Drosophila melanogaster: one gene and its partners. Changing the gene in region 1 together with any one later gene gives a genetic interaction. Each region holds a gene or a part of one and is shown on either strand. Other genes may lie near its edges. The genes, in order: Cln3, Cat, Cisd2 and Sod1.

Region 1 (9,829 bases):
GAGCTCCAAATCGCACCAGCCACCCGTACGCCGCCCTCCCACGGAGTATTCTTCTGTCCGCGGAGTGGGAAATTTGAACCCGTATTAGAGAACATACCAACCGATGGAGCTCCATTGTCCGAGTAGAAGATCACTATGCTATTCTCCAGTTGATCTGTAGAAGACAGAGCGGTTATTATACGTCCCACGCTCTGGTCCAGTTTGGAGATCATCGCTAGGGGTTAGATTAGATATGTGATAAGTCATGTTTGGGATAAGCATTTAATTATTAAAGTGTAATTACCTGCATATTTCCTTCGGTTTGGATCCTTAATGTAGGAAAACTTTTGAATCTCTTCCTCGGGAGCTTGCAGAGGATCATCCTCGTTGGCCGTGTGGGCAGCCAAGTGGCTGAGCATCAGGAATAGGGGTTGCTCCTTATCAGCATGGTCTTTGATCAATCGTTCCGCCTCGGCGGTTAACAAATCAGTTACATAAACCCCACGATCCCGGCACTCCAACTCCATGTTCCGCCGGAAATCGTAGCCCAGACTATAGTTGGCCACCGGCATCTTGGATCGTCTCTGGAAGTAGTCTATATAAGCGCCCCAATAGCCGAAGTGGTAATCGAATCCCCGCCGAGTGGGCGTGTATTCCGGGCGCGAGAAGCCCAGATGCCATTTTCCCACCAGGTTGGTGGAGTAGCCTGCCTCCTTGAAGATCTCCGGCATCAATGTGGCATTGAGGGTCAGGGCCCAAGGCTCTTCGTTGCTGATTACAAAGTGCTGTGTGCCTGCGGTAATCAATATATGAATTGTGTGGGTTTGATTCAAATCATTGATAATAACAATCCCTGGTATACAAAAGGTAATCGATACTAACCCGTGTGTATTGGATACCGGCCGCTGAGCAATGCTCCCCGAGATGGAGTACACATTGCCGGAGCGTAGAGCCGATCCAGTAGACGACCGTGATAGGCCAGGGCGTCGATATTGGGAGTTAGAAACTCCCGTCCGCCTCGAAAGCTCACATCATCGAAGCCCTGAGAGAGTGTTTGCTTTAGAAATGGGTTGATTTATGACGGCGAAACTAGTCCCACCATGTCGTCGGCCATAATGATGATTATGTTGGGGCGCCGTGCTGCAGCAGATTCGTCCGACTTCACCCGTTGGAGGCAGAGCAAAAGCAGAAACGCTGATAAGCCCCGCATCTTGGTTACTCAACTTACGTATTAGACAATCGCGTAATATTCGACTGCCTTGCACGGCAGCTACCGATCAACTGAAACGGCGAGCGGTCCACGTAACATCTCGCCCCAAATCGGTTTGGGTCTCGATCTCCCAATCTGTCTCAGCCGGCATCTCACTGCCAAACCGATCGTTTGGCGTTCGATTTGAAACCGATCAAACCGAATTAGAAGCCACAAGCAACAAGTTTATTTAATAACCGAGCAGCTCCATCTAAGTAATTATAATGTGTAGGTAGTGTAAATACGTACAATTTAAGAGGCTTTTTGTTGGAGACAGTTGAATAAACTCAGAGCAAGTGGGGCGCATTCTGTCTGGGATCAGTGTGCTTATCAAAGTGGTTAGCCGTGAGCACTTTGTGCCGAAAAAGCCAAACTTTGCCAAGGAAAACATTTTCGGAAAAGTGCTTGCATCTGGGTACGTTGAAATTAAATGAAATCGAATGTACAGTGTAGTGTTTATTTTTTTTTTTTATTAAACTAAACTTATAGAGTAGTCTAACAGCAGCATACTAACTATACAACGATCTATCTGGTTACCGGATGTCCAGTGATCCAGTGATTAATACTATAGGGACATGCACAGACACACACGCTTATTTGGCTAAACACGCACACAGTAAAGGCATAATCTGATCCTGATTCTGATCCTCGATCCGTATCACCAAACAAGGCTTCTGGCCGCGGCCGGAAGACCACAGATGGCGTTGTGCACGGGAATGGCCAGAAATCCGGCCAGAGCAATGCCATAGGAGTCCGACTGTACCACCATGGCCATGGCGAACTGCTGGCGCTCCGGCGAAATCTCCTTGGACATCCGATAGAAGGTGTTCACGTAAGCACCGCCGCCCAGAAGTCCCTCCCACAGGACGATGGCGAACACGATCCAGATGCTAGGCGTGTACCACCAGATAACCTCGGTGAGGAAGTATACCACGTTGACGAACTGGAAGATGGACATCAGCCAGATCTTGTCCAGCTGGAAGAGATTGACAGAGGAGCGCGAGATAAAGACTCCGATCTGATAGTCCACATTTAGCCAGCGGTACTGCGAGTCCTTGTCCAGGAATATATCTTCAAAGTAAACCAGTTCGAACTGAAAAATGGATGACAATGAATGTTTTTTTGTATGAATTAAAGAAAGCTAAATTACCAATCCTTGATTGATGAAGTATTCGAAGAAGTAAACCAGGCAAAGGGGCAACATATATTTGAAGAGGTGCTTGATATAGAAGAGCTTTTCCTTGAACCCAACTAATGGCTTCTCATCGCTGATCAGGACTTCCGTGGACTCAACCGTGGTAACCGGCAATATATCAACTTGTGGACGACGAAGCAGCAACCAGAATGCAAAGGCCTCGATCGCAGGGAAGATCAGCATAATCAGCATAGTATCTCTGGGACTGAAGTCTAAGGATCTCAAGCTAGCATAGCTCAAGGATCCGATAACTCCAGCGCCACCAGTTCCGGACGACCAAGTGGAGATCACATTCCTAAGAAAAACATATGGAATTAATGATATTTTGTTTAGTACTTTTACCAGACAACTCACTTATTGTATCGCGAAGAATAGGCCAAGAAAGTGGTTTCTCCTATTCCGCTGCTAGCCGAAGTGATGATGACACCCAAAAGAGCCATCCATTCGGCATTGGCGAATCCAACCAGGAGGAAACCAGCTGCAGAAAAGGCCACGGCAAGAGCTATACGGAAACTAATAAATAAAATGCGATTTTGTGTTAGTATCATATCAAGTTTAATGCATCAAATCAAATTTATTTAATATTGTAGATAGTACTCACTTCACCCAAAATGGAAAGAATGGCATTAGAATCTTGACAAATAATGAGGGCAGCACGTCTGCCAGCAAGATGGCACCTGTTGAAACCAAGTGACAGTTTCTTCCCGACGAGCTTTCTTCCGATTCATCATTCTAAAAAGAAAAAATTATGCAGGCGAACAATTAATAAATGTATTAAAAGTGCTATAATCCTATTGTAATTACCGGATTAAACTGCTTGATAATATCGTGCGCAGCACTCAGCATCACCACGTATCCGTAGTTGTTGCACAGACCGAGGATCCAGTAGGAAGTAAGATCCCGCCATAGACCCCGATCTTGGCGAGAGCTGCGAGAGGCGTCTCCAGGGGTGACCACCACTTGGGGATCATGTTCGGCCTCAGCCTCTTGCTGCTTGGTTGCCGTCATATTGAGCCGGCTAAACAAAAATTAAAAAACCCTTTTGTTTAATATTTTTAGTGCAAATCCAACAAATTTATTTGATTCACTTCATAACTTTTTTTACCATTTACTATCTCTAATCTAAACTCATCTAGTTTCTCCTAAGAAATCAACAACTTATTTGTCTCTAAAAAAATTAATGTTGCTCTTTTTAAAAGCTTTAGCATTTACGCAAATTGTTTAATTGGTCAAGCGTGAACGAAGGTGGTTTTAAGACTTCAAAACGGCAACGAAATCAATATCACGTTTTTATAATAACAGTTTCTTTTAGTAGCTTTAGTTCAACATTTATTTGTTCCAAGAAACAAATCAGCGCCGTACCCTTAGTTCATGATCACCTTACTTAATTTACTTTGAATGGGCCAACTATTAATTGAATTCTCTTTCCCAGCTATGAGCTATTTATACTCTTAAAAGAAACTGCTATTCACTCTTCTAAGCTGAGCAAATACTACTGCTCGAGTCGAATTTAAATAAATTGTTTAATTTCCCAAGCCGAGCATGTGCGTAAGCAGTCTTGAACTTGACATAATATGGTCACTAGGGGAAGTCGCTAAAATATATGGAAAGTACGTGCAATAAATGCTTAAAAATATACAAATTGTGTTGAAGGTAGGAAAAGACAGCTGTTTAGTTCAGACTCAGGGTTTGACGGGTTAAAAGACTCATATTTATATAGCTAAGTGCCTTGCGGGATATTTTCACGGGAGGTGCACACGTATTTCCTATTTTACTATTTGAATTTGTAATAAAGTAGCCTATTACTATTACTTTACACATTTCTCAGGCATTTAACTATGCTATATAACTAGCTAATTTGCAATGTTTGGAGGTTTTAAATAAATAAGATTTTAGATAACATTCAGCTGTAGCGGGAAATAAACTACATATGTGCGATTTTACCGGATATATAGATGTACGTATATATATCACAGTTTTTTGGCAATGTTTTCGGTGGTGCAAAGTGCAGATGAATTGATTTGTTTACATCCGACAGAACTTGTGACTGATAATAGATCGAAGAGGAAATGGGGACAACAGATGGGATAATATAATCTAGACCGTTCAATGCATATATTCCCAATTCTCATTAGCGCCCTTGACTGGCAGCTTTTAATTATCCAGATCATTTAAGTTAACCTTGCAACAAGCCAAACCAATTCAAATAATGTAATCAACAGTTAGCACGAGCCCTGTTAGCCAACAAAGAAAAGGCACGCTAACTGTAAAATAATTATAACAAATTAACTAATTTAATTAATTCAGAGACCAGGCAAATGCTTTTTAGCCGTCCTGCACTTCGTTGGCCACTGACTCATTCAAGAGATTCACTTGATCCATTTGCGCAGTTATGAAGTTGTTGACCCAATTCGCAGTGCACTTTCCTATCCAGTTACTTTTGCTTGCTATCAAAAAATATGATACCCGATACTCAAAATTTATTTCGAAATATCACTGGTAAATTGAGAATGCTAGATCTTGCATATATCTTGAAAAAAAAATTCTGAAGCATAGAGTGCTTAAAGGGATTTTCGTTTTCAAATATAACTTTTTAATCAGTAAATTAATAGATAAAATAATTTTTTTTCCATAAGAAATTTTAAGCCTTTGATATTTAATTTCGCATTTTATGTAATATAATATGTAAAAGGTTGAATTTACAACAAATGTAAAAATGTTTACATAGAGTTAACTTTCTATTGCACTTTATAACTTTTCATAGCACTAATGGGTTCTTCAACTGCTCTTGTTCACTATAAAGTACAACCGTACATCTTGCCACTATTTTTCGGCTTGGTAGTTCTAAGGTTCCGAGAACTGTTGGATACGACGGCGACGACGATTCGCGCTTCGAGGCGATCGGTGAGTGACTGAACCTGTGCGAACCCTCCCAACGGAACGAGAACCAATAACAAGCGGCGACTACAATGGAGCCAAGCGGCTGGGAGCCCAAGTATGAGGTATCACGCGAGTTGCCAGCGGCAGCATAAAAACTAAAACAATTAAAAGATGCAGCAAGTGCCAAAGTGCCGATCAGCAGGTTGATCGTACGTAGATCGCTAGCAGGTAGCACACATTACAGATTACATATATAGTATCATTTAATTCAATTCAATTCGATTTGATTCGATTTGATTCGAGCGGCAAAAGCGGGGGAGTTGAGGTCGGTCAGCGAACGTCACGTTTTTCGAGTTGGCAAGTGCATTCGCATTGGGTTTAGAATACCCCTTCTTCTCAAGAGTGCGAAGATAGCGATAAGATGTTCGAATTTCTCGATGGGGGAAAATCTGCGAACCTTGTGATTCTTTATGGTGGGAAATGCTTATCGGCTAGCGGTCTTTGGCATTCAAAGATCCCAAGCAATCCGATAGTCGAACTGGTATAGATTAGATTATGAAGATATTGTGTCACTACGAAGGGTTCTTAAAGATTTTCCAATACTTTTGAACGCATGTGCTAGCTCTTGATTAATGTATTGAAAACGATCAAGTTAGCAACTGTATTTTGGAGGGTATTTCAAACTTCGTGTTTGTGTTAGCTTTCGTAATTAGCACCTGTTATTGAATAAGTCATAGCTATTTTAATTACGCTTAACTTTAAGTTAGGCAGTTTAATTGCGGATAGCGCTGTTAGCTTTAATTTGTGCTGCCCAATATCAAGTAAGCTCTAATGGTCGTTCCCTCTAAGTTTATTGTTTTTCAACGGGCGCACGTGGCGTATGCGTAATCCGAAAAGTGCTCCTAAGCTCAAAAACACCTGTTTTCTAGTAGAAAGATTTTAAAAAGTAGTATCGATAAATTCACTTGTTTTTTTTTTTTTAAAGTTACACAGTAAACCAAACGGAGGTCATTTAACTCGATGACAAACGGTTCGGCTATGCAAATCACATTTACCCGTTCAACTGGAAATGCTGGCTAATTTTATAACAATTTCATTTGAAACGGAACCCTGAGATACTTTCTACGGCCATAAATCCGGCGTAAAATGCAATAAACATTACTCCCCCGAGTGAATACCAAACACCAGCCGTACGTACACTTTCGAATTATTTCCGGCTGCCACTCAATCCGCTCGAGCAATGAAAATCTACTGAGGACTCGTCGAATACGGGCCTAGATTACAGCCGGACCAGTTGCAATCGACATTATCATTATCGTTAAGTGGCCAGCAGATTAAATTACAGATAAGACGTTCGCAGCATTGGGCCATATAAATCTTAAGATATCACTGGCAATGGCAATTCGTATATGACAGGCTCTGGGGAACAGAAAGGGTAATCAAACTGATGAGGTGATGGCCATAAGCCCGCTTCCCCCTTTTTATCTTTTCCCGTACACTTAAGTCTAATAATCGTACCGGCCAAGAGTTTGGTCATAATAAATTTCTCGGGTATCGTTTTCCCATCCACAATAGCTCCGTTTAAATTAAATCCGTTTCGCGCTCATTTAGCACGTACGGAAACCGCCAAAACCAATTTCACACCGCAGCCGCAAAGCATGGAACACTTTTTACTTGCCACAGGGCTATACATTGCATTTAAAAAAGAGAACATGTTGTTGACAAATTGCAAAATAAAGTGGTTAAGGCTGCTAGGGATAAAAAGGGACACCCGTGTTCGATGTTGTAAATAATAAATAATTCACAATTGCTTGTCAATTTCGAGTCACTCCAAAGTTGTCCTCCCTGCGAAGGGAAAGTAGTCCTTTCATGGCATAAACTATGGCCAAAGCGATGCCCTGTTGACAGCCAGATTGAGTTGACAAATTGTTAAGGCAATTTGTTATAGTAATACTTTGGGAATTCCGGAATGCCAGTGAGTGCTGTTTGGCAAGCAGTTGTGTCAGTTGCATTTTAATGGTCGACTGGGAGTCATTTAAGAACGAAGTTCTTAATACTATTTGCTTGACTTAGGCAAATGTAAAATCTTGAAAAAATATATAATTTACTGCGTATTTGATTAGCAGCCATATAATACCATTTATTTGCTCCTACACCCAATTTAATAATATTTGTGCGAACTCAACTCACTCTTATTTATTGTACAATCAATTTCGATAAAGCTTTGACACGTCCCTTCCCATATTTGTCGCCTCTGGCGATGCGCCATCATTAAAATACCATAAATCATCTCGGGGCAACATGCGATGTCTGCGGTAGGGAAACTACTGATTCCGGTGAAATTCGGGGAAATGCGAAAAACACAACTGTTAACTGTTTCTAATAGGCCGTATTAGGCTCACAATCAGTTATCTAACATTCGCACGTGGCATTGGGGAACAAAGTTTCAATTCGAATGTGGCCGTGCACGAAAATGCAAATAAAATGGCTCCAAGAGAATGAATAAAATCATTGCCAAAAGGGAAAATGGAGTATAAAAAGTAACCGCCAAACACGAAAAGTTTTTAATGCAAATACGAAAATCGCATGGAAACATGGCCACCACGTCCTTTGCAAACCCCTTTATCCATCCCTCCGTTTAACGAGCCGTGCTGCAATTTTCCGGCGCGAAAACAGGAAGTGAGGAAAGCGTCGCCCTGCATAATTTTGCGATGCGAAAAGTTAACGCAAAGTGTTTTTATTTTCTCCTGGGTGCAAATAGAATATAGTTGTTACAGCAGCTTAAAGCGATTTTAAAGCACTACGGGTGAAAGGTGAGATGACGCGTGAAAAAGCGCTTCCAGGCCAGTTCCACCAGCAGGATTACCACGACCAGGATGTCGGCGCAGATCAGCATGAGGAGCAGAGGAGCCACGTACTCCATTCCCACGGTGATGACGAAGTTCTGGGCCACGCAGTGCAGCTTCATGTGCACCCAGTAGCTGCGCTGCTTCCGGTAGACACCAGTTTCCAGGATCCTAAGGAATCTAAAATAATACATACGATTTTAATACATTTAAGATGTTTTTGAATAGCATAAAATTTAGTTATACTTGCTTTTGGAAGAGTAGCATAAGGGCTTACCGAAGTCTGAAGAGCTCCTTGTACGTGGAGTTGCGATGTAAGTGCGTGTAGAATAGCTGCTCGGGTCGAAATAGAACTTCGTTCAAATCGCAAATCTCTTGAGCCGTAAAGTACCGCTCCACATATGCATATCCGGAAGAGGTTTCGAACACGTAGACATAGCCAGGATTATCCCTGACCCTTAAAACACCCTGCTCAGCGGGCAACCAGAGTTCAGGATTCTGGGTCTGCGATTCGATTTTGCGTTTTATGAACAAGTGTATTTCCGGTAGTCTTGAGTACTGAAATTAAAAAAGCTCTTTGCAGTTAAGAATGGTTAGGAATGGAATGAAACCAACATTTAGGTAGCTCTTGGTGAAGGGAAGTGGCTCCAAGCCCACGGTTAGGGAACTCTCCGCCAGCTGCCGCATCGTTTTTATCTTGGACTTGACGGGCGAGCTTAGTAGAGATGAAACGACTACGGAAGTGTAGTAGTTGTACATAATAAAGCTGATCAGGAACAGGGCGAAGTAAATTAGTCTGCCTCCAGCGGATCGTGGAATCAAGGACGAACTTTGGATGCAGGCTGCTCCAAAACTGATCAGGAAAGTGCTCAGCAAAGAGGGTAGGTAGTCCAAGCGCCATCGTTTTTGCATTCGCTTGCACTCCATATAAAAGGTGATCCACAGGAGGACACCAATCAACGAAAGTACTCCGCCGAAGAGATACCAAACCAACGGACTGAAGGGCTGCAGGAAAACATCTCCCCGGAGTCCCGCATTGTGGGGTGTCCGGAAAATGCAAACGGAACGAAAAAATCCCGTCTCAATAATGGCAGACAAATACTTAAGCCTGCCTTCAGTGGCCAAAGAGGGCGTGGCCGTAAGATCAGCAGTCTGGTCCACTACAGCACCCACAGAACCACCTACCACATCCGATTTACTCCAGCTATCCGAGAAGATGAACTTCATTCTGAAGGAAAAAATATGAACTCTACAATTCCCACTTTACATAAAACTTACTTGCAGTGTAAAAGATCTCTCAGGATGAGGGTCAGGTGGAACCCGAATCTAGCTAGTGAGTCAATGTGGGTATCGTTCTCCTGGCTTAAAAAGCGAATAAGTTCGTCATCCGACAAGGTGAGTGGACGTTGGGTGACAACCGTTGCCACTAAGAAATAGCTAGAACTTAAATGTTTTATGTATGCAATAATGTCTTACCTCTCAGGACAACATCCGTAAGTTGTTCTCTATTTCCGTATTTAGATCGCTTCTGCAAGGAACTTAAATGTCGAGTCCTGCGACATACGAATGGATCACAAGACATTTCGTGGGATCCAGTTACATTCAATTGACCCCCAATAATTTTTCCATTATTGTAGACATCATGGACTGCATAGGCAACCGAGTCGTTGTTATCCTGGA
Region 2 (10,394 bases), 1.0 Mb from region 1:
CCGACCATCATTACCATCATCACCCTGTTTGTTTTCTGCCAAACCTGGGGCCTGGTCGTCTATCCGAACCTTAACTCGTTCCCCGAATGGGCTCAGATTTATGCCGCGGCAGCACTGGGAAACAAGACGCACTAGATAGTTAGTAATTAGTGTAAATAACTAACATACCCGTCACAGCGATAAAGTTGAGGAAAATTTAGGGAATTTTAAACGAAAAGTGCCTTTGCTGACAGCGAAAAATGTGAAAAATATTTAACTATGTATACTTGCATTTCAGAGTTGCGAAAAGTTTTGATACAAAAGCATTACCTACTGTTTAGAAAAATGTGTTAAAAAAAAAACGTATCGCAATATACTGTTAATCAGGAATTGAACACCTGGTCTACGCACTCAGCTAAATATTTAAATACAAATTAATGTTACTTAATTGTTGCATTTAGCATAAAAATGGAAAAGATTTGGAAAAGTTAGAACAGTTTGTTCAATGGCAGCCCTGGCCTGCTAATATTTTAAATAACTAGACTGAGAGAACTTACATATTCATACATGTTTTTCAACTTGTAAAAATTTTTAAATGAACAACTCACTCAATACTTCATTGCGAACCAAAATGAACACACAAATAGCGGTAGGCTAAGCTTAAATGATACTGTGTACATTTTCAGATGATTTATGTTTTATATAGTTTGTAAAAAATATTAAATAATAAAAAGCTCAAACGACAATAATACTATACGTTTGTTTATTTCAATAACTTATTTTGTTTGATGTTCAAAGCGCGCCATGCATTTCGTATAACGATAACTCGAATTAATCGATAACTCGCCCTGCTAGGGATGCGCGATTCACTGAAAAGGTTTAAGACTCACTGGCACAGTTTTACATCTACTGGACACTTGTAGCTGAAATTTCAATTCATCAAATAAAATACATATTTTTACAAAATTACGGAGAAATAAAACATTTTACTCATAGGAGATAATGGTAATAAAAATATCATTACAAAAAGTATTAAATTGATGTATATTTCATAGGAACAAATTTGATTAAGATTAAGTTCAATCATTCGAAGTAGTAATTTCTCAGGGTACCGAAGAAATATTTAAATGGGAATTAAGAGCTCGACTATAAGTGACCCAAAAAATTAAAGAATCTCCAAACAGTTATATCAAAAAATAAAGAATTTATTATATATTCATTGCATATACATATACATTGTAAGTGTAATTTGTTTATGACTTAAACAATTTTGAATATCAAAACAAGACAAGACACATTTCGTGGTTAAATCAATTTAAGCCCGCAACCAAAGATCCGAAAAGCGTTCGCCTTTCTTAGTCAATTTCGGAATGGGTGGTGTTGGTGGTGGTGGTGTTGGTGTTGGAATAATTAGTTCCATTGGATTAATCGTAATTAAGGCCAAAAACCAAGTCTGATCCGTCGAATCCGCTCGCTCAGCTTAGAACTTCGAGGACTTGGCCAGGTTGAGTTCCTCGGTCAGCATGCGACCGAAATCGGCGTGCACCTGGGTGAAGTTCTTGACGGCCCGCTCCTGCAAGAACTGGCTGGCGTTGCTCAAATGGCCGGCAATGTTCTGCACCAGACGCTTCTTGGCGCACTTGTCGAGCACATGCACCCAGAAGTCGGTGACCTGGCCGAAGTTGTCCTCGGTGTCGCCGCTGCTGTAGCGGTAGACATCTCCAGTCACCGGACAGCAGGAGGACAAGGCCCTGGCCCTGGGGCATTCCTGGGGACCGTTGAACGAGTTGGGGAAGTAGTTGGGGGCACCATCCTGGTTGTCCGTCACATTCATGGCTCCATCCCGCTGGAAGTTCTCAATCTTCACCTTGTACGGGCAGTTCACCGGGATCTGCAAGTAGTTCGGTCCCAGGCGATGGCGATGGGTGTCCGAGTAGGAGAACAGACGACCATGCAGCATCTTGTCCGGAGAGGGCTCAACGCCGGGCACCAGGTGAGCGGGACTGAAGGCGATCTGCTCCACCTGAGGGTCAGAAAATTACCATATTAGTTATCTTTCTTTTGATTGCATTAATCTCAAATGAAGAAGAATCTATTTGAAACAAAAAAAAAAAACGAACCTCAGCAAAGTAGTTCTTGGGATTGCGATCCAGCACCATTTTGCCCACAGGAATCAGAGGGTACTCCTTCTGCGACCAGACCTTGGTGACATCGAAGGGGTTGTACTTGAACTTCTTGGCCTGCTCGTAGGTCATGACCTGAATGTACATCGTCCAACTGGGGAACTTGCAGGTCTTGATCCTGTTGTACAGATCGCGAATGCTGTAATCCGGATCAGTGCTAGCCAACTGATCGGCGGTCTTCACGTCCAGATTCTTGATGCCCTGGTCCGTCTTGAAGTGGAACTTGGCATAGATGGGCTCGCCCTTGGCGTTGATCAATTTGAAGGTGTGCGAGCCATAGCCGTTCATGTGGCAGTAACCGTCGGGGGTGCCGCGATCGCTGAACAGGATGCACACCTGGTGAGCGGACTCCGGTCGCAGGGTGAGGAAGTCCCAGAACATGTCCGGATCCTTCAGATGCGTCTGCGGGTTGCGCTTCTGGGTGTGAATGAAGCTGGGGAATAGGATCGGGTCGCGAATGAAGAAGACCGGCGTGTTGTTGCCAACCAAATCCCAGACGCCATCCTCAGTGTAGAACTTGACGGCAAATCCTCGAGGATCGCGGGCGGTGTCCGCAGATCCGCTCTCACCACCCACGGTGGAGAATCGCACGGCCAGTGGAGTGCGCTTCTTGACCTTGTCGAAAATCTTGGCGGCACAATACTGGGTGATGTCATGGGTCACCTCAAAGTAACCAAAAGCACCAGCTCCCTTGGCGTGCACGACACGCTCTGGAATCCGCTCCCTGTCGAAGTGCGACATCTCATCCAGGAAGTTCACATCCTGCAGCAGGATAGGTCCTCGCGGACCAACCGTCTGGGAGGCATCCTTGATTCCAATGGGTGCTCCATTGCCGGTGGTAATGGCACCAGGAGAAACCTGCAAAAGCAAATGAAAGTCAAGTTTAATCAAATGTATTTTAATTTTAAAATGCTATGCAACATTCAGCAACAATATATTGGTTCAAGTGTCTTACAATCTTATCGGGCCTATTGCGATAATTCATTTTTGGCCCGCGGACTTTCATTTAATCATTCGATTTTCACCAAAAGAAAAAAACATTAACATAAAGATTGCAGAGCGTTATCTCTACACGGGGGGTCATTTTGCAGTGCATATAAATTTAAAATAAGAGATCCCAGGTGTTCTTAAGAGCTTGAGGCCTTAATATAGTGATGATGTATGGGTTTTTTGCATTAACATGTCAAGATATCAAATCCGTGTGCAAGGAAAAAACCAATTAAATGAAAGTATTCAAACATCAAAATGATGTTACACAGTTTATTAGCTGGCGATCAATTAATTATTTCATTCCATTAAGCTAATAAAAGTGTATTGTCCATCTGAAATATCAATTAGCCCACCAGCTGTCCTGTCATTTATCAGTCGATCTAATCATACTCCTTGTTTTCAATTCATTTCCCTAGAGTAATCCGAGACCGCTCCTTAATCACCTTATCGTTTATTTCGCATGCAGGCCAGCCACTCATTATAAAATTAACTCAGCCAACAATTTGCAAAACTGTCACCGGCCAATGCGCACTGTTTAGCTAATGTATTTGAAACCTGAACAACGCCATGCGAAATTCTAATTCGAAAGCATTTCTAGAACAATGCATATAGAATTTTATACAGAAGGTTGTTTATCAAAGTGAAGCCACCGGTGGTGGTGGTGGTGGTGTGTCAAACATATAAATTAAGCTACTGTTTATATTTCACAACAAAGTCATTTAGATACATATAGCACTTGGGTTGGGATTACCCGGTTGGGCACTAAGACTTTTACAATTGTTTAAGGAATTAGTAGTTGACTTTATCAAATCTTAGTTCCTAGAAGTATATATGTATCTATTTAATAATAAAATCAGCTTAGACAGGCCAGTAGTATACCCACTTATTGACAAACAAAAAGCGCTACATAAAAACGAAGAAATGAATATAATTTCGAAATTATCATTCTGGAATTTATACTGGAGTCACCCTTTAGATTCGGCCGATTCAGCCGGAATGTTTTGCACTTTGAGACATTAATATGGGGCCACTTCAGGGGGCAGATACGATAAGTGAAGCAAACCGGGAATGACAATGCGAGTGGAACCGCTGGAACTGCGATCCACGTCCAACAAGTCAATCTGGTTCCTATCAGAGCCTTCGTTCTTATATATGTATGTATGTATTTGGTTGTAGATATCTCCAGCGAAGAGCAAACTGATAAGAGAACCGCAACCGATCTCGAATAGAAATGCAAAGAACACAGTCTACAGGAAAGTTTTTAATTGCAACTTGTTGGCGATGCCAATGACACAAAGATGGCAAACAGCAACTTAATGAGGCGGCTTTATAAGATCAGTGCACCTGATAGTATGAGATAAATTTGCCTTCTAGACATAATTTATCAGCAGAAGGTTACTCATTCGAGAATGAGAATGCATAGAAAATAAGCTAAAGGATTTTAAATAAGGATTTTTATAGGGTTCTTAACCGACTCACAATGACCTTACGCAATATGCATTGCGTTGCAAAATATTCCAAGTATTTTCCTTGCATTTTCGAATTTCTTGGATAACAAATTAACTCGATTGCGAGATTCCCAAAAGAACAAAGAACCCAGTTGCCATGATTATTCACCGAAACAAAGGCAAACATTTAATTGCCTGACAGAATGCAGTTTTCACAGTTTCGTCATAGAAGGTCAAAATCGACTAAAACAACACGAACCAACCAACCAACTGTGGAGCTAGCTCTCTTTTCTGGGTCAGTTCGAAACATATTCTCACATACAGTCGCTTTTAGCCGGGCGTTCCAGCCAGGTTGCATAACCAAATTGGAGAAAGAAAATTTGCGTTGACTTATGGCACTGGCACACGCATTTTCCGAAGCGGTCTAGCCTTCCGCACTCAACCCAAAACGGGTTTAAAGCCGGGTTCGTTGTCACTCGAATCACTCGCAGTCGATGCGCATTGCAACCAGTTTGTGCAACATTGAGCCGGTCGCCGCAGAGTCCATTGACTCCCAACGAATTTTCCAACTTACAAGCGGTGCAATCCAGCGATCGCGTTTCTCAAAAAGTTCATATCTATATTTGTTTATATAAAATAATGACCGCTGATTGCTTTTAGTTAGTGGAGTAATTGGCTTCGTGACTCAATGCACAAATGCACTTAAATCGCTGATGCGAGAACTAAGTTCTAGATTTAGCCTTAATTGAATAGGGTAAAAAAAAGGTATACTAAATTAAAAAACAAAAAATGATTGTATTCTTTGAGAACTGACAATTCATACTTACAAAGTATCGAAATCCAATGGAAATTTACTTTAGTTACTAACCAAATGTGGGCACTCAACAATATCTATACGGCTGATACATCTAATCTATTTGGGCCAATTACTTAGCTGTTTTGGATGCCTATCAACTGGCTGACAAATAGCTATGCAGAATTATTATTTCATTTATCGATTTTTAGAGGGCATTGGGAAAACCACAGGGAAATTGCCGAGTAAATTATATATAGATACAGTATCTATGGGTGAGGCTTACTATTGATTTTGTTATATTTCATTCCTTTTTATAAAATGTAACAGCATATTTGATTTCAAAAATGATTGCAGTGTATAAAATGTTGCAATTGTGGAATGCCACGAATTTAGGAAAGTACAATTTTCCGAGTGTGAACAAACAATATTTGTTCAAAATTTTAAGAGGGCACGATTCCACAATTGAAATCATGCATTTAATCTAAACCAAAAGCGAAAGCGAATAATTAACACAAAAGTGCAAACGAACAAATTCGAATACTCAAATCCAATGCACAATGCAAGTGCCAAATGAAATTGGAAGTGCTAAGTGAAAACAGCGCTGAAAAATGAAAATAGACTAAGGTAAGAGGTCGCCCAAGGTTAGAAAATAGGTTAGCTAGACTAAACTTTGGATTTCCTTAAGAAGGAAAATAAAAATAAAAGGGAAAATAAAATTAACTTTGGATTAGGTACAGAAAACACAAATCCAATAAGAATTGCCACACTGATAAGGTTTATCAGTTCACTTCTGATAAGATTTCTACAAATAAATAGAAGACCCAGAGAGGCGGCTTTTGAACTTCGAACTCTGGGGAAACGACTTCATCATTACTGGCATTTGTTGGACAAGCCTTTGTTGTTTTTCGCATTTTAATAATTAATGGAATTAATGGAAAGTACAGGCTCATAGCAATCGTTACTGAAATTGTCTTGTTTTTTGTTTATTTCATTTCGTACAATGCTTCTCCCTTCTCTTTTTGTCTTTTTTGCCTTTCTTGTTTTCTTATTTTCCTGCCGGCACACACACGCACACACATGCAGTTGCGCTCTCTCGCGCTCGCACACCAACACACTCACCGTTTGGGAGTTTTTGTAGTCAATCAACTGATTGGAAGCCGCATCGCGTCCAGCCATTTTGCTTAAAATTTAGGATATTTGCTCAACGGGATAACCAGAATTTAGAAACACTCGAACTGGAAAGTTGTTGATTTCTAGCCGCCTTCGGTTTTTTGCTGTGACTGCGTCGAGAATTCTGTCAACTAAAGCAACTGCAGCGCAGTTCCATTTGTTTTTATAGCCCAGCACCACGTACTTGTTGTTGCTCAGGGTTGTCGAGTGGGCCGAAGATATCGATATTTCGATTATAGTTGGAAATATATCGCTTAAATATTACATAATATCCATTATTATTCATATTTGTATTTAAATAGTATGAAATTCATTTTCAAAGTTTTTTTTTTGCACTGTCCATTTAAAAACGTGTCCCAACACCATTAAGATTTATTATTGATAATTTATAGTACCTTCGCTCCATTTGCTGCCCAGAAAGGTGAATAAATTTAAACTGTTTGTTAAGTTATTTATTTTTTTAATTTCATGAAAATGTCGGCATCATTAAGTTATAAACTAAGTCGGCTATCTATTGGTGCTCCTGCCAAATAAATATCTATGGCCTCTTTTTTTCTTAAGTTGTGAACCTCTTCCAGTGGTGCCTTTAAAATAAATGTACTTCATTCATATAATATATGTAAATATCATTAAACATGTTAAAATTATAAACTTCAAGGAAATCTCCAAATGGCGGCTATCTTTCTGTGGCTCCTGCCAAGCTAACATCTCTGTCTTTCTTTATTTTAGCGTACAAAAATATCTAATTAAATGAAACTTAGAAACTAGCATCAACTAGCATATGTATCTTGTTCTCTAGTCACAACTTAAAAAAATCACCTAACCACCTGTGGTTCCCATCAAGTAAATATCCATGGACTGCTTGTCCAGGACGGTCGGGCGCCTCTTTGGAATCGGCTGAATGTGCGGCAGTCGCGTGCCATTCACGGCGTTCAAACTGAGATTCGAGTTGGGGTCGTAGTCGTCGCAATCCGGAGTAGTCTGGGCCAAGCTCAGCCTCTGCGATGGTTTCACCATTAGGTTTGCCCTCGCAAGCTGGCGTTTTTGGATCGCTGCAGCGCTGGTAGTGGGCACATTGTCTGAATCTTGACTTAAGCTTCTGTGGGAGCACAGCTCTTCATCGGGAGTCACAATGCCCCCCTCACTGTATGAGGCACCGAATTCGGAACTTTGGCCAGAGACATGCAAAGAGGGCGCACTTTGGTGCGACGATGACTGACTGCCGCTGACGTCCGTAATGCTCGCGGCAGTCTCCCTGGCCATCTTGTGCCGTTTGGCATTGTCGTTCTTCTTCCGGTAGAGTCGCACCAGGTCCGTGTAGCACTTGCAGCAGATGAGGTTGCCCGCCCGAATTTCGCTGTTCAGCAAACAGGCGAAGCGCACCAAATATTTGTTGTTCAGTTGGCGATACGGCTTCCGCAGCGTGTGGTTGCCGACTGCGCAGAATCTCCGCTCAACGCGCGAGCCCTCGTCAATGGAGGCCATCTGGAATAGATCATGCACCTAGTTCTCCACAACTCGGGCTTACAAAACAATGCTTACACTGGCATTTTAACTTCCAAACGCAACAAAACGAAACATGAAGCCAATTGTCCCGCCACTTTGGAAACATATAGTGTGACCACATATGGATTGCTGAAATATACCAAAATTAGGCGTAAAATAAAATGCATTTAACTAATAAACAAATTCAATTTTTTTAAATGTTATAAAATCTAAAAACATACTGACATGGTCACAGTTTCTCACAATTTAAATGTGGCTTATTGTAATGCCAGTTAAGTAATTAATATGAAGAAACTATTCGTTTAAAATTGACAATAATCTAATTATTGGCGTGTTCGATGTTCATGAAATACTTATGTTATATCAGTTAGTTTGAAAATTGACTGTATTTCTTCTGTTGGTTGTATCAATTAAAATGAGTTTAAAAACACATTTTTTAAAACCCTAAAACCACATTCAAATCAAACTGTAATTATACCAACTAATACTGAAAATACCGAAAACTGCAAAATCAGCTGCTCGCCGAACAGCACTCAGCGTGCTGTTGGACGCGAAATGTTAGCCCATTAAACCCAGGTTATTTTTTGTCATTCATTGTTCATACGTTCGTCTCGTCTGATTTTCTTTTTATAAAAACACAATTAAAATTTCAAACGAATACACATAATTTTTATAAATATAATGTAGTGCAACACGTATATGTATAATATAGCTTAATACCAAGTGCAATCCCTCGAAAGATAACTTCAAATGGCAATCTAATTTACGTAAAGAGAAGAGACAAAAAAAGAAACGGCGCGTGTGAAATTTTTTCAAGCAAAGCAAAGGAGAGAAGTTGGAGCAACAAAAAAAAGAGGAGAGAAAAAATACAGCAACAACACACAAAGTAGGCCAACAACAACAGCAAGAAAAAAGCAAGCAAGCGGCAACAACCACAGCAACAACAATAACAACGTCGAGCGAAAGAAGCAAAAACCTTGTAATTGTGTCAATAAATGTTTTAAATAATATTTCCTTTGGGAAAGGCACCGTGTCTGTGTGCGCGCTTCGTGGTGTGAGTGTGCGAGACAAGTGAAATTTTCTTTGTTTCCCTGCGGGGGAGGAAAATACAAAAAAAAGAGTCAAGAAATAAAGTTGCCTTGAAACAACAAAAAACGCTGCCCCAAAAAAAGTGTATGCATGTGTGTGTGTCTGACTCGTTGTCTGCTGGTGTTGGTGAGTGTCTGGCCGTGTGTGAGTGTGTGTGGCAATGAACGTTGAGCAACAATAATTTTATTTATTTGGAATTTTGCTGCGCTGTTTGCTTGCTTTTATCTTTATAAATATACGCACAACTACAGCGCGATAAATGAATTATGAAAATAAAAGTCCCAAGTGCTCTTTTAGCAATGAAAATGTTTAGCCAAAAAACGAAAAGCAACAAAAACAGCGGCTTTAAGGCTGCTGGACAGGTTTCCCACGGCTAAAAAAAATGTAAAATACGAAAAGGAGCAACACGACGGCGACGTAGAAGAAGAAGCAGCAGCAATGCGTGAAACGCGAAAGCAAAGTGAAATTCAAGACAACAACAACAACAAACACGAAAGCATAGCGGCTAACAGAAACCGTTATTCAACAATTTCTTGAATAAAACAACAACGACAACAACAACAACATCGTAAAGCATACAAGTGAAAGAAGGCACAAAATACTGGTTTACACAAAATAAAAAAAGATAAAGCAGAAGAAAGAAAGCAAAGAGAGAAAAAGTTGCTGCACGAGAAATTTCGTTCGTGTATGGTCTCCCCATTTCTATCTCTGCATATATGAGAGTGTGTGGTGTGTGTGTGCATTAGTGAAGTAAAGTGAAAAGCAATGCTGCAAGGAATTACAACAACCACAGCCAGTTTACAATAAATATATAACAGTAAACGGTACTTAGGACCACAACAAAGAGGCCAAACAAAGAAACGAGATATTTGGACAAAATCTCAAGGTAAGTGAAGCAAAGCTGAATATTTCGATGATTTTCTATAAAAAAGTGCGTGCTTTAATTAAAGTGTGGGCATAAGTATCGAACAAAAGCGTTAATATTGAGAGACAGACAGAAAAGAAAAGGGAGGGAAGGCATGTTGCCTCGCTTCATTTTTTTTTGGAGCATGCGAAATGTCTACAGGTGGCTTATTTACAGTTACTTTCTTGATAACAGCTGCTCGGCCTTCTCGTCTTTCTTTCGTTCATTCTTCCTTCGCAAAGCTCTTCTTTAAAGCTTCTCACGCTCGTCGAAGAATTTCGGTGTTTCATGTCTAATCGCCATCTAATTAACGGTAAAAGGTGATGCTC
Region 3 (5,863 bases), on another chromosome or scaffold:
TACAAGGCGCTCATCGCAGCCCAGTACTCCGGAGCCCAGGTGAAAGTGGCCGACAACTTCAAGTTCGGCGAGACCAACAAGTCGGCTGAGTTCCTCAAGAAGTTCCCCGGTGGCAAGGTGAGTCCGCTTTTTTTGTGGGTGTGGCTAGTGCCAGGTCATCAACACGATATGTGCCCGTAGGTGCCCGCCTTTGAGACCGCCGAAGGACAGTACTTGAGCGAGTCCAATGCCATCGCCTACCTGCTGGCCAACGAGCAGCTGCGCGGCGGAAAGTGCCCCTTCGTGCAGGCCCAGGTCCAGCAGTGGATCTCCTTCGCCGACAACGAGATTGTGCCTGCCTCCTGTGCCTGGGTCTTCCCCCTGCTGGGCATTCTGCCGCAGCAGAAGAACAGCACTGCCAAGCAAGAGGCCGAGGCTGTGCTGCAGCAGCTCAACCAGAAGCTGCAGGACGCCACCTTCCTGGCCGGCGAGAGGATCACATTGGCCGACATTGTGGTCTTCAGCAGTCTGCTCCACCTGTACGAGTACGTCCTGGAGCCCAGTGTGCGCAGTGCCTTCGGCAACGTGAACCGCTGGTTCGTCACCATCCTCAACCAGAAGCAGGTCCAGGCCGTCGTCAAGGACTACAAGCTGTGCGAGAAGGCCCTGGTCTTCGACCCCAAGAAGTACGCCGAGTTCCAGGCCAAGACCGGAGCCGCCAAGCCCCAGCAGCAGGCTCAGCAGCAGAAGCAGGAGAAGAAGCCCAAGGAAAAGAAGGAGGCGCCCAAGAAGGCTGCCGAGCCCGCCGAGGAGTTGGACGCCGCCGATGAGGCCCTGGCCGCCGAGCCCAAGTCCAAGGACCCCTTCGATGCGCTGCCCAAGGGCACCTTCAACTTCGATGACTTCAAGCGCGTGTACTCCAACGAGGACGAGGCCAAGTCCATTCCCTACTTCTTCGATAAGTTCGATGCCGAGAACTACTCGATCTGGTTTGGCGAGTACAAATACAACGAGGAGCTGTCCAAGGTGTTCATGTCGTGCAATCTCATCACCGGCATGTTCCAGCGTCTGGACAAGATGCGCAAGGCGGCCTTCGCCTCCGTTTGCCTGTTCGGCGAGGACGGCAACAGCACCATCTCCGGTATCTGGGTGTGGCGCGGACAGGATCTGGCCTTCACGCTCTCCCCCGACTGGCAGATCGACTACGAGGTCTACGACTGGAAGAAGCTCGACGCCAAGAGCGAGGAGACCAAGAAGCTGGTCACCCAGTACTTCTCCTGGTCCGGCACCGACAAGGACGGTCGCAAGTTCAACCAGGGCAAGATCTTCAAGTAATCATCTCTGCCTAGCCCAGCTCCGCTCAAAGCAGCAGCCGCCCTCATTTAGACCAACAACAACAACAGCAGCAGTAACAATAAAGTTTGAGATTTAAAATGCAGGAAGAGCACAATGCCCATTTCTTAAGTTCCAACTGATAAGTACACTAAAGATATCCAATATCTGTCGTGCTGCCTCCCACGTTTGGCGGAATCGTGTGTCTCGCCTCCTGCATTTTGTACTGGAGAATTTGTTTGTAACCGCCTAAGCATAACACAGCATGATATTGTCAACGGAACAGCCGCCTGCAGTCAGAAAATATTTATAAAAAATAAAAGGTTTTCTATTAATAACAGCACGGTTTTCTCTCACACGTGTGTGTATGTGTGTGTGTGGTTTATTTGGTTGTTGGTAAAGGTTAGGTCTGGCATTTATTAGTAATTAGAATTAAGCATATCGATTTGAATTTATGTTTGGGCAATTTTATTGGCTCCTTTTAACTTAATCCATCAATATCATCAATTATTGCTTACAATTACAAGGGTTCAAACAGCTTCGGCCACTACTATTGGTTTTAAAAGCAAACTGGAGCTCAGCGAGAGGAAATGCTAGAACGTTTGTGTATCGATGCACCGCCGCAATCTACTTCTTGATGACAATTGGTCCGACGTTGTCTCCAGTCTGCTTGTTGTGCTCGCCATGACTGCCATCGCAGTAGGGCCACTGCGAATAGAGGATTCAATTGAAAATTTTGTTCACAATATTTCAGAGGTTAGAATGCACTCACGTTCTTGGTCTTCCAGCAGCGACAGAAGGCCGCCTTCTCCGCAATATCCTCCACGTCGATCATGTCCACCACCTTGGGCTCGTTCTTGCGGATGTGGTTGTTGCAGCGTCCGCTGTTTTTGGCCGCGCAGCTGGCCCGTGCCGCCGGACAGTAGGCCAGGTAGGCGGTGTAGCCGAGTCCGGCCACCACCACGGTGGGTGGGATCAGGGCCAACCAATCCTTGACTGCAAACGAAACCAGGTTAATACGGAATGCAGTGCATTTTAAGCTTTATAACTAGATATTTTGGTCGATCAGCCGTAACCGGCACAAGGTCGTTCCCTACACACATATTGGGTTATAAACGCACCAAGATATGCGCATATATGTTTATAGGTATACCCATGTTGGTATGCCTGTATTATGCGTCTATCTAGTTGCCTATCTGCGAGACAAACTTGCTCCAATTATAAATTTCTTGGCGAGCTCAGCAGTTGTTGCATAATCGCTGCAACTTTTTTGCCTGGAAGTGCACACACTGCACTTCCAATTCCCGTTAGCAGCTCCGCAATATCACGCCACATTTGCACCTTAGTAGTCCATTTAGTTGGCCCCCCTAGATGCTGCGTCATTATCGTGGATTTGGGTTTATGTGGGGCGCCCTTTGAAGGCAAATCAAATTCCAATGGGCAAAACCACGCTCATTGCCCAAACTTACAGGAGAGCTTAAACCAGCCGCCGATGCTGTCGGGAACCGGCAGACTTGACAAGTAATTGGGCAGCGAGGACTTCACCAGATGTGATATGGGCTCCATTTCGAAACGCCTTTTTTATTTAACTGGCTATTAAATTCGGAAAACTTGTTTTTGTGTTGCTATCGGTTAGCGGTGCTAGCAAATCGATAAGCCAGTCCTATCGGTATCGCAGTGCTAGGGTCACACTGCATTTTCGACGATAGGCAGTATTACAGATTCGTGTGTAGTCATCGATAGCATTCTGTTTTGTTTACGAATTATTGATTGAAATCAATAAATTGCAGTTTAGAATGTCTGCCGGGGTACAAGAGCGCCTGCAACTGAGCCGCATGCCGCTGGACACGTGGTCGAAGCGGGAGCAGCTCATCCTGGCGTCGGCGGTCTCCTGCAGCGGCGACCAGAACTGGATCACGGTGAGCCGCACGCTGAAGACGATCTGCGGCAATGGCAGCAGTAACCGACCGGCGGACTGGTTCTCGCAGAAGAACTGTGCCATGCAGTACGGCAATCTGCTGGAGAGCGTGGAGGCCACCAAGCGCAAGAAGCGCAGCAGCGAAAGCAGTGCCGGCGTCTCCTCGCCGGCCACCGTGGAGACGCCCACAGAATTGCTGCTCCGTCGGCTCACGGAGGAGCGTCAGGCGGAGATCAAGGCGCAGATGCGTCAGGATCAGGAGACTTACCGACGCATCCAGCGGGAGATTGAGTCGCTGCAATCGGACGCGGTGACCGAGCAGGAGCTGCAGGACATGTGGCTGGAGATCGAGAAGGAGCAGGAGGCGCGCCGCATCGAGGAGATGAAGCTGGAGAATCGCATGCGGGAGCGCGAGCAGCGCAAGAAGGACCTGGCCAGCAACTGGCGAAACAGCAGTCTAGCCGTCAAGCGTTCCAACCAAGCTGCCGACACGACTTCCGTCGATATGGACGTGGAGGACATAAACACCAGTGGCAATGGCAAACAGCAGACGGGTCCTTCGCCTCTACTCACATCTCTCCTGAAATCGCCCACAGGCAATGCACCTGCAACGCCCACCCCAGGAGGAGCTGCACCAGCAGCCGGAGGAACTGGCAGCGTGGCCAGGGCTACGGCGCCAACCATCACCTCGCTGCTGACCAGCGGTCCAAGCTCAGCTGTTGCCAATCAGCCAGTCATCACCATGAAGAGCCCCACAGATGCGGCGTTTATGTCCCGACCTATTACCGGACCTCCGGCCAGTGAGGCTTCTACTACGCCCACACTCGAACGGAGTCCCTCGCAGGCGGCACCCACACTCTCCATGCTGCTAGAGAAGAACATGGCTGCGGCGAAGGCCAACGAAAGCGGAAGCTTGGTAAAGCCAGAGGGGTCAGGAAACCAGGAGCAGGGTGTAGACGAAGCCACTTCTTCTGCAGCTGGCACAGCAGACTCCGACGAGGCGGATCCCAACGAAGCGCAGCTGCTGGAAGTCTTCAAAAACATTGATCAAATAATAGATGACATCGACATTGATATGGCCAGTGTCATTGACGATGAGATTCTGAAAAATGTGGATGACGTCGTAGCCTCGCCATCAAACGATAAAGCCGAAGTTATTGACTTTGAGGACAAGCTGGACGCTTTGAAGCGGGAGCAAAGTAAAAGTTCCCCAGCCAGTGATAAACCAAAATCTGTGGAGCTAGTAATTGGATCCAGCGATGACTCCAACGACAATATACCCCTGGCTGCCGTGGCCTCCCAGGAGAGTAAGGATCGTGGTCAGTCCGGTGGTGAATCTACTAGGGGCACCGAGGACGCAGAGTCCGAGCCGTTGACCAGCGAGGTGGCGGTGGAGGAGATTGGTGAGACCATTACCATTATCAGCACTTCAAGTGAGGATACTGCAGGATCGCCACCCACGAAAATGGAGGAAGATGGGGCCACTGATTCCCTTCCGAAGAAGGAGGATGCCGCGGAAGACAAATCCGAACAGGAAAGTAGCTCCCAAGGACAAAATAAGGCAGGAGGAAGCACGGACGAGCCGGAACTAATAGATCACCAAGCCACTAGGGAAGCACAAAGCAAGTCAGGCAAGGACACAGCGGGAAAGCCAGTAACAATGCAAGAAAAGACGACCACTCAGTCCGCTCCGGTTCCTGTGGATCTGCACGACACAGACGAGGAGTCGTCTTCGTTGACGGACAGCAGCAAGCACGATGACCATCCAAGGAGTGCAAAAGCTAAGCCCCCGGCATTGAAGCTGGCTCTGGATGACTCCAAGTCGGAACTGGAGCTGAGTGGCACACCTCAGCCACCGTCGGCGCCAGCTCGAACGCCTTTGCTACGAAAACTGCCGCATCGGGATCGGTCCGAAAGTCCAATGGTGGACGATGACGCCACAACAGCCAGCGATCATTCCACTGCTAGGTCCACACGTCGCCGCTGCTCCTCCACGCCCGTTATCGACAGCATACCCAATTCTCCCGCCTCCAGCGAGCACACCGACGATCGGAGAGAAACGCGAGCCGCCTCCAAGAAGCTCTTCCTGTCCATTTATGCCATGTTGCTGGACAGCAAGCATGCGGCTCCCTTTAAGCGTCCCTTCCACGACGAGCACGCCCAGCGACATGCGGATCTATGCCTACGCCCCATGGATTTCCCCACCATCAAGCGGAACATCGACTCGGGATTCATTCGCAGCTTGAGCGAGCTGCACAGGGATGTCCTGCTCATGGCCCACAACGTTTTGGTGGCCTACAAACCACACACGGCTCAGCACAAAACGGCGCGTTTGTTCGTGCAGGACTGTCAGGCGATCAAAGAGTTCTCCCAATTGCCGGACGTGCAGGCAGGGATCACGGCCACGCCGGTGAGCAACACGGGAAGCTTGCGAGCGGATAAATCGAGCGGAAGCAAGGCCAGGAGCGGCTCCCGAAAGAGCCAAAGGCATCACTAGGCTCACTTAACTTTTCACACGTATTCATTTATGCATTTCATTTTGGAACTTACATGCTACATGCATTAACAATAAACATCAATCGAAGAATATTAGGTTCTGTAAGCGTCGAGATCTGGACGAGTGGCAAATGGAGC
Region 4 (6,131 bases), 6.7 Mb from region 1:
TATCTGAAACAAAAAAAGGCGATTGACTGAATCGGTAGGCTTGAAAATTTGAATCGCATCAATACCTCTGGATGCTGACAGAGATATTCCCAGTTTCCGAGACGTAGTTGTTTTTGGATTCGCGATATTGTGCTGTAATGCTTTATATCCCGCGATTCCCACTTTCCAAGATCCCAGATCTTGGTGAAATTTTGCTTATTCCCATGCGACATTTTTCAGATTTCACAGGAATTTGGATATAGCTAAATAGTTTTATTTAGGAAACTAAAGTCAAAGGAATGTTGTTAAAACATTTAATTGAAAAACTCACAAAACAAAAACAGTGAAATTAGGTTAAATTGAACATTTCCAGATTTAAAAAAACCGCTAATCTGATTCGCGAAAAGTGTGCCATATTTTATTTCGACGTTTTTCAGCAAGCAAAAACGGTCACACTGCCCGCACAAAAGAAAATTTTCAACGAAAATTGTTCGAGATTTCCGTTTTTAATTAACAATGATGAATTAATTAACGCTGGAATTAGCACAAGCTGTAACTTCACACATTTTCTCGGCTCCACGGCAATAGAAAGCGATGGTAAGATGAGTGGACATGACGGAAAACTGGACTTTTAATTGGGTACAACTGGCCAACCGGCTTGCCCGGAAAAATGAAAAGTCCGCCGTAATAATGGACCAAAAATAGACCGTAGCGCAGTGACCCAAAAATAGCCACTACATGTGCTCCCAAATGTCTTCTAATAAGCTGTCTCTCGAAACCATTGCAGGCTGTGCTGGGCGCCCAATTGGTCATCACCTTGGTGATGGTCAGCGTTATCCAGAAGTTGAGTCCACACTACTCCTTCGCCAAGTGGATTCTGTGCCGCACCGGACTCTATCGATACCTGCATCCCACGGACGATGAGCTGCGGTCCCGCGGCGGTGTGCCCAAGGAGAAGCCACCAAAAGGTGGTCGAAATAAGCAGGCAAATGGTTCAGGAGGAGCGGCGGGTGCACAATTCCACATACCGCGCAGCATTGAGGTGGAGCTGTTGACGTCACCGGTGTTGGAACGGGATGTTGTCCACCTGCGCTACTTCACCGAATATCAATGGCTGCTGGACTTCAGTGTCTACACGGGGATCGTCTACGTGGTCTCCGAGGTGGGTAAAGCTCGGGTTGTTCGCCTGAAAATCCGACTACTGTGATCCTAGTTCTAGGAATGCATACCATAACTTACTAATTTTGGATTCCCCTCCACAGCTGTTCCACTTCTACTACCCGCTGCGCCACGAGGTCAACTTGAGCATGGTGTGGTGCCTGCTGGTCATCTTCTTTGCCCTGAAGCTGCTGTCCTCGCTTACGGTGCTCTACTTCCAGAGCGAGGAGTCCATCGGCGAGAGGTCGATGGTGATTGTTGCCTGTTTGGTTTACCTGCTGGTGGCCATGGTCGTGCTGATCGTTGACGAGCGCATTCTGGAGACGGGACTGGAGGATGCCTATGCGAGCTTTAATGCCAGCGCTTCCAAGTTCCTCACCGAGCAGGGCCTGCCATCATCGTGAGTTCGCCCCTGTTTCGCGTATCTCTATTTATTTACACTCTTATTCTTATTTTTTCAGTGGTCCCGCCTCCAAGATCGTGGTCAAGTTCTTTTTGGCCATGGGTTGCGGCCTGCTCGGCTCATTGTTCACCTTCCCCGGCTTGCGGATGGCCAAGATGCACTGGGATTCGTTGAAGTACTGTCGCGGCAACCGGTTGCTGCAAGTGCTCCTGAATCTCAGCTTTGTGCTGCCCTTTATTCTGGTCATCCTGTGGATTCGGCCCATTAGCCGCGATTACCTGACGGTGCGCGTCTTCCAAGGAATGCAACAGCCACTGTGAGTTAACCTACTCACATTAAATTAGTTTTTACTAATTAACAAGTTCATCCCGATTATTTTTGCAGACTGAAGCCACACGTTTTTGAGACACTTCGCCTGCTGCTAGTGATCTTTGTGGTGGTGGTTCGTTTCGCCTTGATGCCCATATATCTGCAATCGTACCTGAATCTGGCCCACGACAAGATCATGGATCTGCGCAAGGAGGCCGGTCGGATCACCAACGTAGAGTTCAAGCAGAAGGTGGAGGCAGTCTTTATTTTATACAAACGTTCATCGAGTAAATCCTCCTTTCCCTTTTACAGATCTCGTCTATTTTCTACTATCTATGTGTTGTGACGCTGCAATTTGCTGCCCCACTGATCCTATGCCTTTATCTCACACTTATGTACAAAAGTCTGGGCGGCTTTAGCTGGTCGGGTATTTTCCGCGAGAGCGTTGTCCTGCAGCACGAGTGTGCGGCTAGCGAAACGGAAGGAGCTGGTGTTGCCGTTTCCCAAGGAGATGGTGACTTTAATATTATTGAGTCGGCGCAATCGCTGCAGGCTTCGTTTAGCAGCCTGAAAAACGTAAGAATCCTTGCTGTGCACGTCAATGCCAGTTTTAATCATAATTTCTTTTTCAGGTTTTCTCCACGGAGGTGTACAAGGGTTTCCTGGGCTTTGCCACCTGGTGGAGCTACTTCACCCTATTCGCCACTTCATCGCTGGGCATTGTCTACCAATCATATTTCAACAAGACCTAGGTTCATTTAAATCCCCGTCGTAGTATATGACTTTGTTCTTTTGTAGTGAATTTATACCGCACACGAAATTAATATTAGTTTCTACTCATGTGGCGAGTATCTTGATTTACAATATTTTTTGTAAATAATACTACCTAACTCATTGTTTATAAAGTGTGTTTTAAAGACTTTTAACCAGGCTGCCCGGAGAGTAACCAAAGTAATTACAAAAATAAATAAATAATCTAAAACGGAGATATGTTATCAAAACATGAACGAATGTGTGTCTCATCGTGATTTTTGGGTTCTGCACTCATCTAATATGTAATTCATTTCATACGAATCTATAACCCGATTCTACTTGCGAATTCGTCGAGCAACAAGTGATATATTCATTCTTACCATCTCAACTCAAATGAAAACTATAACTTTTGTTTATGGGGCAATTTCAAAACACCAATTTATTGAACCTCAAAGGTTGCGTATCAACTAACAGACCACAGGCTATGTATTTATGTTTAGAAGTATGTATATCGTTTGTATATCTCCAGTGGGTAGTGCTAAATAGAGTAGATCAGCACAGTGGCCGACATCGGAATAGATTATCGCTTAGACCTTGGCAATGCCAATAACGCCGCACCCGATGCGGGCACCAGCGTTGCCCGTTGACTTGCTCAGCTCGTGTCCACCCTGGCCAAGATCATCGGCATCGGCGTGCACGACAACGGTGCGTCCGATGATGCTGTCGGCGCCGAAGAGCGTAATCTTGGAGTCGGTGATGTTGACCTTGGTGGGGCAGTCGCCGGTGGCCTCAATGTTGCCCAGATCGCCCAGGTGACGATTCTCGTCGACGGGAGCGCCATGCTCCTTGCCATACGGATTGAAGTGCGGTCCGGACGACATGCAGCCATTGGTGTTGTCACCGAACTCGTGCACGTGGAATCCGTGCAGACCCTTGGCCAGGCCGCACACCTCACCGGAGACCTTCACGGGCGTACCGCTGCTCTGTGGACGGGATGAAGGGATTGGGTTATAACGCTTCAGATAATACTCGAATACTGATAAGACACAAGTTGTGTATAATAGTGAGCAGAAGCACTGATTATGATAACGAGCGTGGCCAACTTCATATGATAATAGGTTATTATAGAAAATAACATTTGTTAATAGACACACGTTAAACGGAAATATTTATAGGCAGCAAAGTAAACATTTGGTTATCTTTATAGATTAAAAACATAAATTTCCTCGGCACTGAAACATAACCTGTAATCATCAAGTTTATAATCGTTTACTTGACACTTGACATTGCTGCTTTGACTTTGATGTACAAATTAATTATGAACAGCATCATTCTAATTATTCCCATATTCCTAATGCTTATTCTAAAACAAATATTTGTTGATATTTAACGATACTTTACGAACAAGTGAGCTTTATATCTTAACTCCTTTTTATGTCCAGTACCAATTTCGTGACCTTTGCTGTAGGCACTTGAGCGCACACACATATGCGCATTTTGGTGCGGCTTATATAAATATAAAGGTGCACTTGCTGGGTGACTAGGCGTAAACTCAAATCGGACTTAATTAAAATGCTCGACAGAATTTAAAGCAGCATATTGAAGTGGAAGAGGGGGCCGCGGGTGCAGCCGGCTATTTGACCTTTAGAACTTCTGTTTTTCGTACATTTTGCCGAGCAGAGAAGTTCAAATGATTTTGGATTCTCACCTCCTGTTCGAAGAAAACCGTGCCCTTGGCATCGCCGTTAATTACGCAGACAGCTTTAACCACCATTTCGAATGAATTAATCAATTTATCAAAACGAAAAAAGTTGAGAACTTTCCAGGTATCTTCTATGGTGTGACCGTAGCAGAGCAGCTTAGAAATACATGCGGAACTTTTACTGTTAGTGTTCAGTTGTGCAAAAGTTTCGTTCACACTATTATGCCGTTACTGGAAGCATTTTTTCTTTGTAATATTTCAAGCTCATGTTTTATTGGGACATTTATTTACATTTTTAAGGATAAAAGCTACAAATTACAAAATTTGAAAACGGAACAATTTTACTGCACAAATGGCGTTGAATTTTTTGAGCTGTTCAACGAACGGGTGGTTCACTTGGAAGCCTTCCATTTATTCCAATGACAGTGGCGGGAACTATTCAATTTACTTTGTTTTGTATAAATAAAAAACGAATCCAGGAATTCCCCAATAAATGCCCAGACTTGATTGCGCTCCTGTTGACTAGTATCAACTAGTATTCATTCATCTATCTAATTCAATTAAAGCAGGTAAATATTAACAAATTGAAACAAGAAAGTTTACATTTGATTTTTGTTTTTTTTTTTAATACACAATTTGTCCAAACACTTAAATGGGATTTTCTTCATTAATAAGAAATAATGTGCTATCATTTCAATCTTTATATATTGTTATTGTATCCGTAAATTTGTAGATATTACTTATTTATTTTCATCATTTTTGTTTTTGTTTGTATTTTAATAATTTGTATATATATTAATATAGATATACATATATATATATACACATATATATATATATTATATTTAAATCGATATAGGTAAAGGTATGTAGATAGGTAATATTATTCATTCGCCTGTTTGTTTGTTTGTTTGTTACTTGTGTGGTTTGCTTGCTTGTTACTTAATTTTCCCCAAATTTTTTTTCACGTTTCTCGCACAATTCGGTCACATAGCTATAACATCTTAAACATCATAATCATCAATCATTACAATAATCAATCGCATATATCTAGATAATTTTGCTTTGTTTGCTGCTTTACCTTGTTGTAAACTTAAAATTTATTATATTACTTAGAGAGTAGCGTCATCGAGCATATTGAATTCGTCAGATCTAGGGGATAAAGTCGTTACTTCGAATCGGGTTTTCGAATTTTCAAAATGTGTGCTTGCATAAGTCGCCGCCGTTGAACGGCTGCATGGCCAACATTTCAAACACAATCATCTCACAGTTGCTATTTGTAAAATGTTCCATATCAATTTACATATACATTGCTCTTCGCGTGCGTTCATGTTCCTTAAGTTCTGCGTGTGTGGCTATTTAATTTGATTTGTATTTCGGGGTTTAGGTATAGGTTTTTGATTGGCAAATTCAATATACAAGATGGAGATACTTTTTTGTTTTTGCTTTCTAATCGTTTACACCCATGGGCCTCACTATTTGCCCTTGTTCTGCCGGTGCTTCTGGATCCGCACGCATCAGAGCACTTCCGACACATACTTGGGTCGCTTGGCCACGGTGGCATCGGTGGCAGTGGTGACGCACTCCTCCTCGCTGGCCTCAATGTGGCCGCTGTAGTCGGTCGGCAACTCCTCGTAGATAATCTCTGAATGCTGTTGCTGGGCCACGGCCTGCTGCTGATGCAGCGTATGCTGCGATGCCCCGCCGCCCATCACATGGTTCCTCTTTAGCGCAAGCAGAGCTCCAACCCCGCCGCCTCCGCCGCCGCCGCTCGCTGCGCTTCCTTCCACATGCGTCTGTGGTGTGGCCACTCCAGAGCTTTGATTG

What was found.
Region 2: of Cln3 (region 1) and Cat, changing one suppresses a phenotype caused by changing the other (phenotypic suppression), as found in Drosophila melanogaster (one study listed by BioGRID).
Region 3: of Cln3 (region 1) and Cisd2, changing one enhances a phenotype caused by changing the other (phenotypic enhancement), as found in Drosophila melanogaster (one study listed by BioGRID).
Region 4: of Cln3 (region 1) and Sod1, changing one suppresses a phenotype caused by changing the other (phenotypic suppression), as found in Drosophila melanogaster (one study listed by BioGRID).

Annotation. Positions count from the first base shown.
Region 1 is NT_037436.4:17,807,559-17,817,387, forward strand, and holds Cln3 (Cln3), read right to left. Parts: upstream 6,562-9,829; 5' UTR 6,502-6,561; intron 5,334-6,501; exon of another isoform or gene 5,238-5,333; intron 3,442-5,237; 5' UTR 3,432-3,441; coding exon 3,228-3,431; intron 3,156-3,227; coding exon 3,025-3,155; intron 2,937-3,024; coding exon 2,778-2,936; intron 2,719-2,777; coding exon 2,379-2,718; intron 2,322-2,378; coding exon 1,887-2,321; 3' UTR 1,673-1,886; downstream 1-1,672. Other genes in the region: CG32191 (uncharacterized protein), read right to left, coding at 1-214, 284-772, 862-1,021, 1,079-1,189; Ir75a (ionotropic receptor 75a), read right to left, coding at 8,104-8,329, 8,427-8,707, 8,765-9,377, 9,428-9,575, 9,626-9,829.
Region 2 is NT_037436.4:18,818,964-18,829,357, reverse strand, and holds Cat (catalase), read right to left. Parts: upstream 6,755-10,394; 5' UTR 6,573-6,754; coding exon 6,516-6,572; intron 3,021-6,515; coding exon 2,100-3,020; intron 2,003-2,099; coding exon 1,460-2,002; 3' UTR 1,170-1,459; downstream 1-1,169. Other genes in the region: Indy (I'm not dead yet), read left to right, coding at 1-135; HipHop (HP1-HOAP-interacting protein), read right to left, coding at 7,386-8,051. UniProt on the Drosophila melanogaster protein: Catalyzes the degradation of hydrogen peroxide (H(2)O(2)) generated by peroxisomal oxidases to water and oxygen, thereby protecting cells from the toxic effects of hydrogen peroxide.
Region 3 is NT_033777.3:29,220,463-29,226,325, forward strand, and holds Cisd2 (CDGSH iron sulfur domain 2), read right to left. Parts: upstream 2,967-5,863; 5' UTR 2,878-2,966; coding exon 2,781-2,877; intron 2,308-2,780; coding exon 2,084-2,307; intron 2,020-2,083; coding exon 1,939-2,019; 3' UTR 1,755-1,938; downstream 1-1,754. Other genes in the region: eEF1gamma (eukaryotic translation elongation factor 1 gamma), read left to right, coding at 1-117, 181-1,314; Brd8 (bromodomain containing 8), read left to right, coding at 3,108-5,726; CG14507 (uncharacterized protein), read right to left, coding at 5,805-5,863.
Region 4 is NT_037436.4:11,109,264-11,115,394, forward strand, and holds Sod1 (superoxide dismutase 1), read right to left. Parts: upstream 4,478-6,131; 5' UTR 4,377-4,477; coding exon 4,311-4,376; intron 3,586-4,310; coding exon 3,190-3,585; 3' UTR 3,018-3,189; downstream 1-3,017. Other genes in the region: CG34012 (uncharacterized protein), read right to left, coding at 1-3, 66-212; emei, read left to right, coding at 574-576, 767-1,141, 1,242-1,537, 1,599-1,856, 1,925-2,099, 2,162-2,425, 2,482-2,601; FoxK (forkhead box K), read right to left, coding at 5,822-6,131. UniProt on the Drosophila melanogaster protein: Destroys radicals which are normally produced within the cells and which are toxic to biological systems.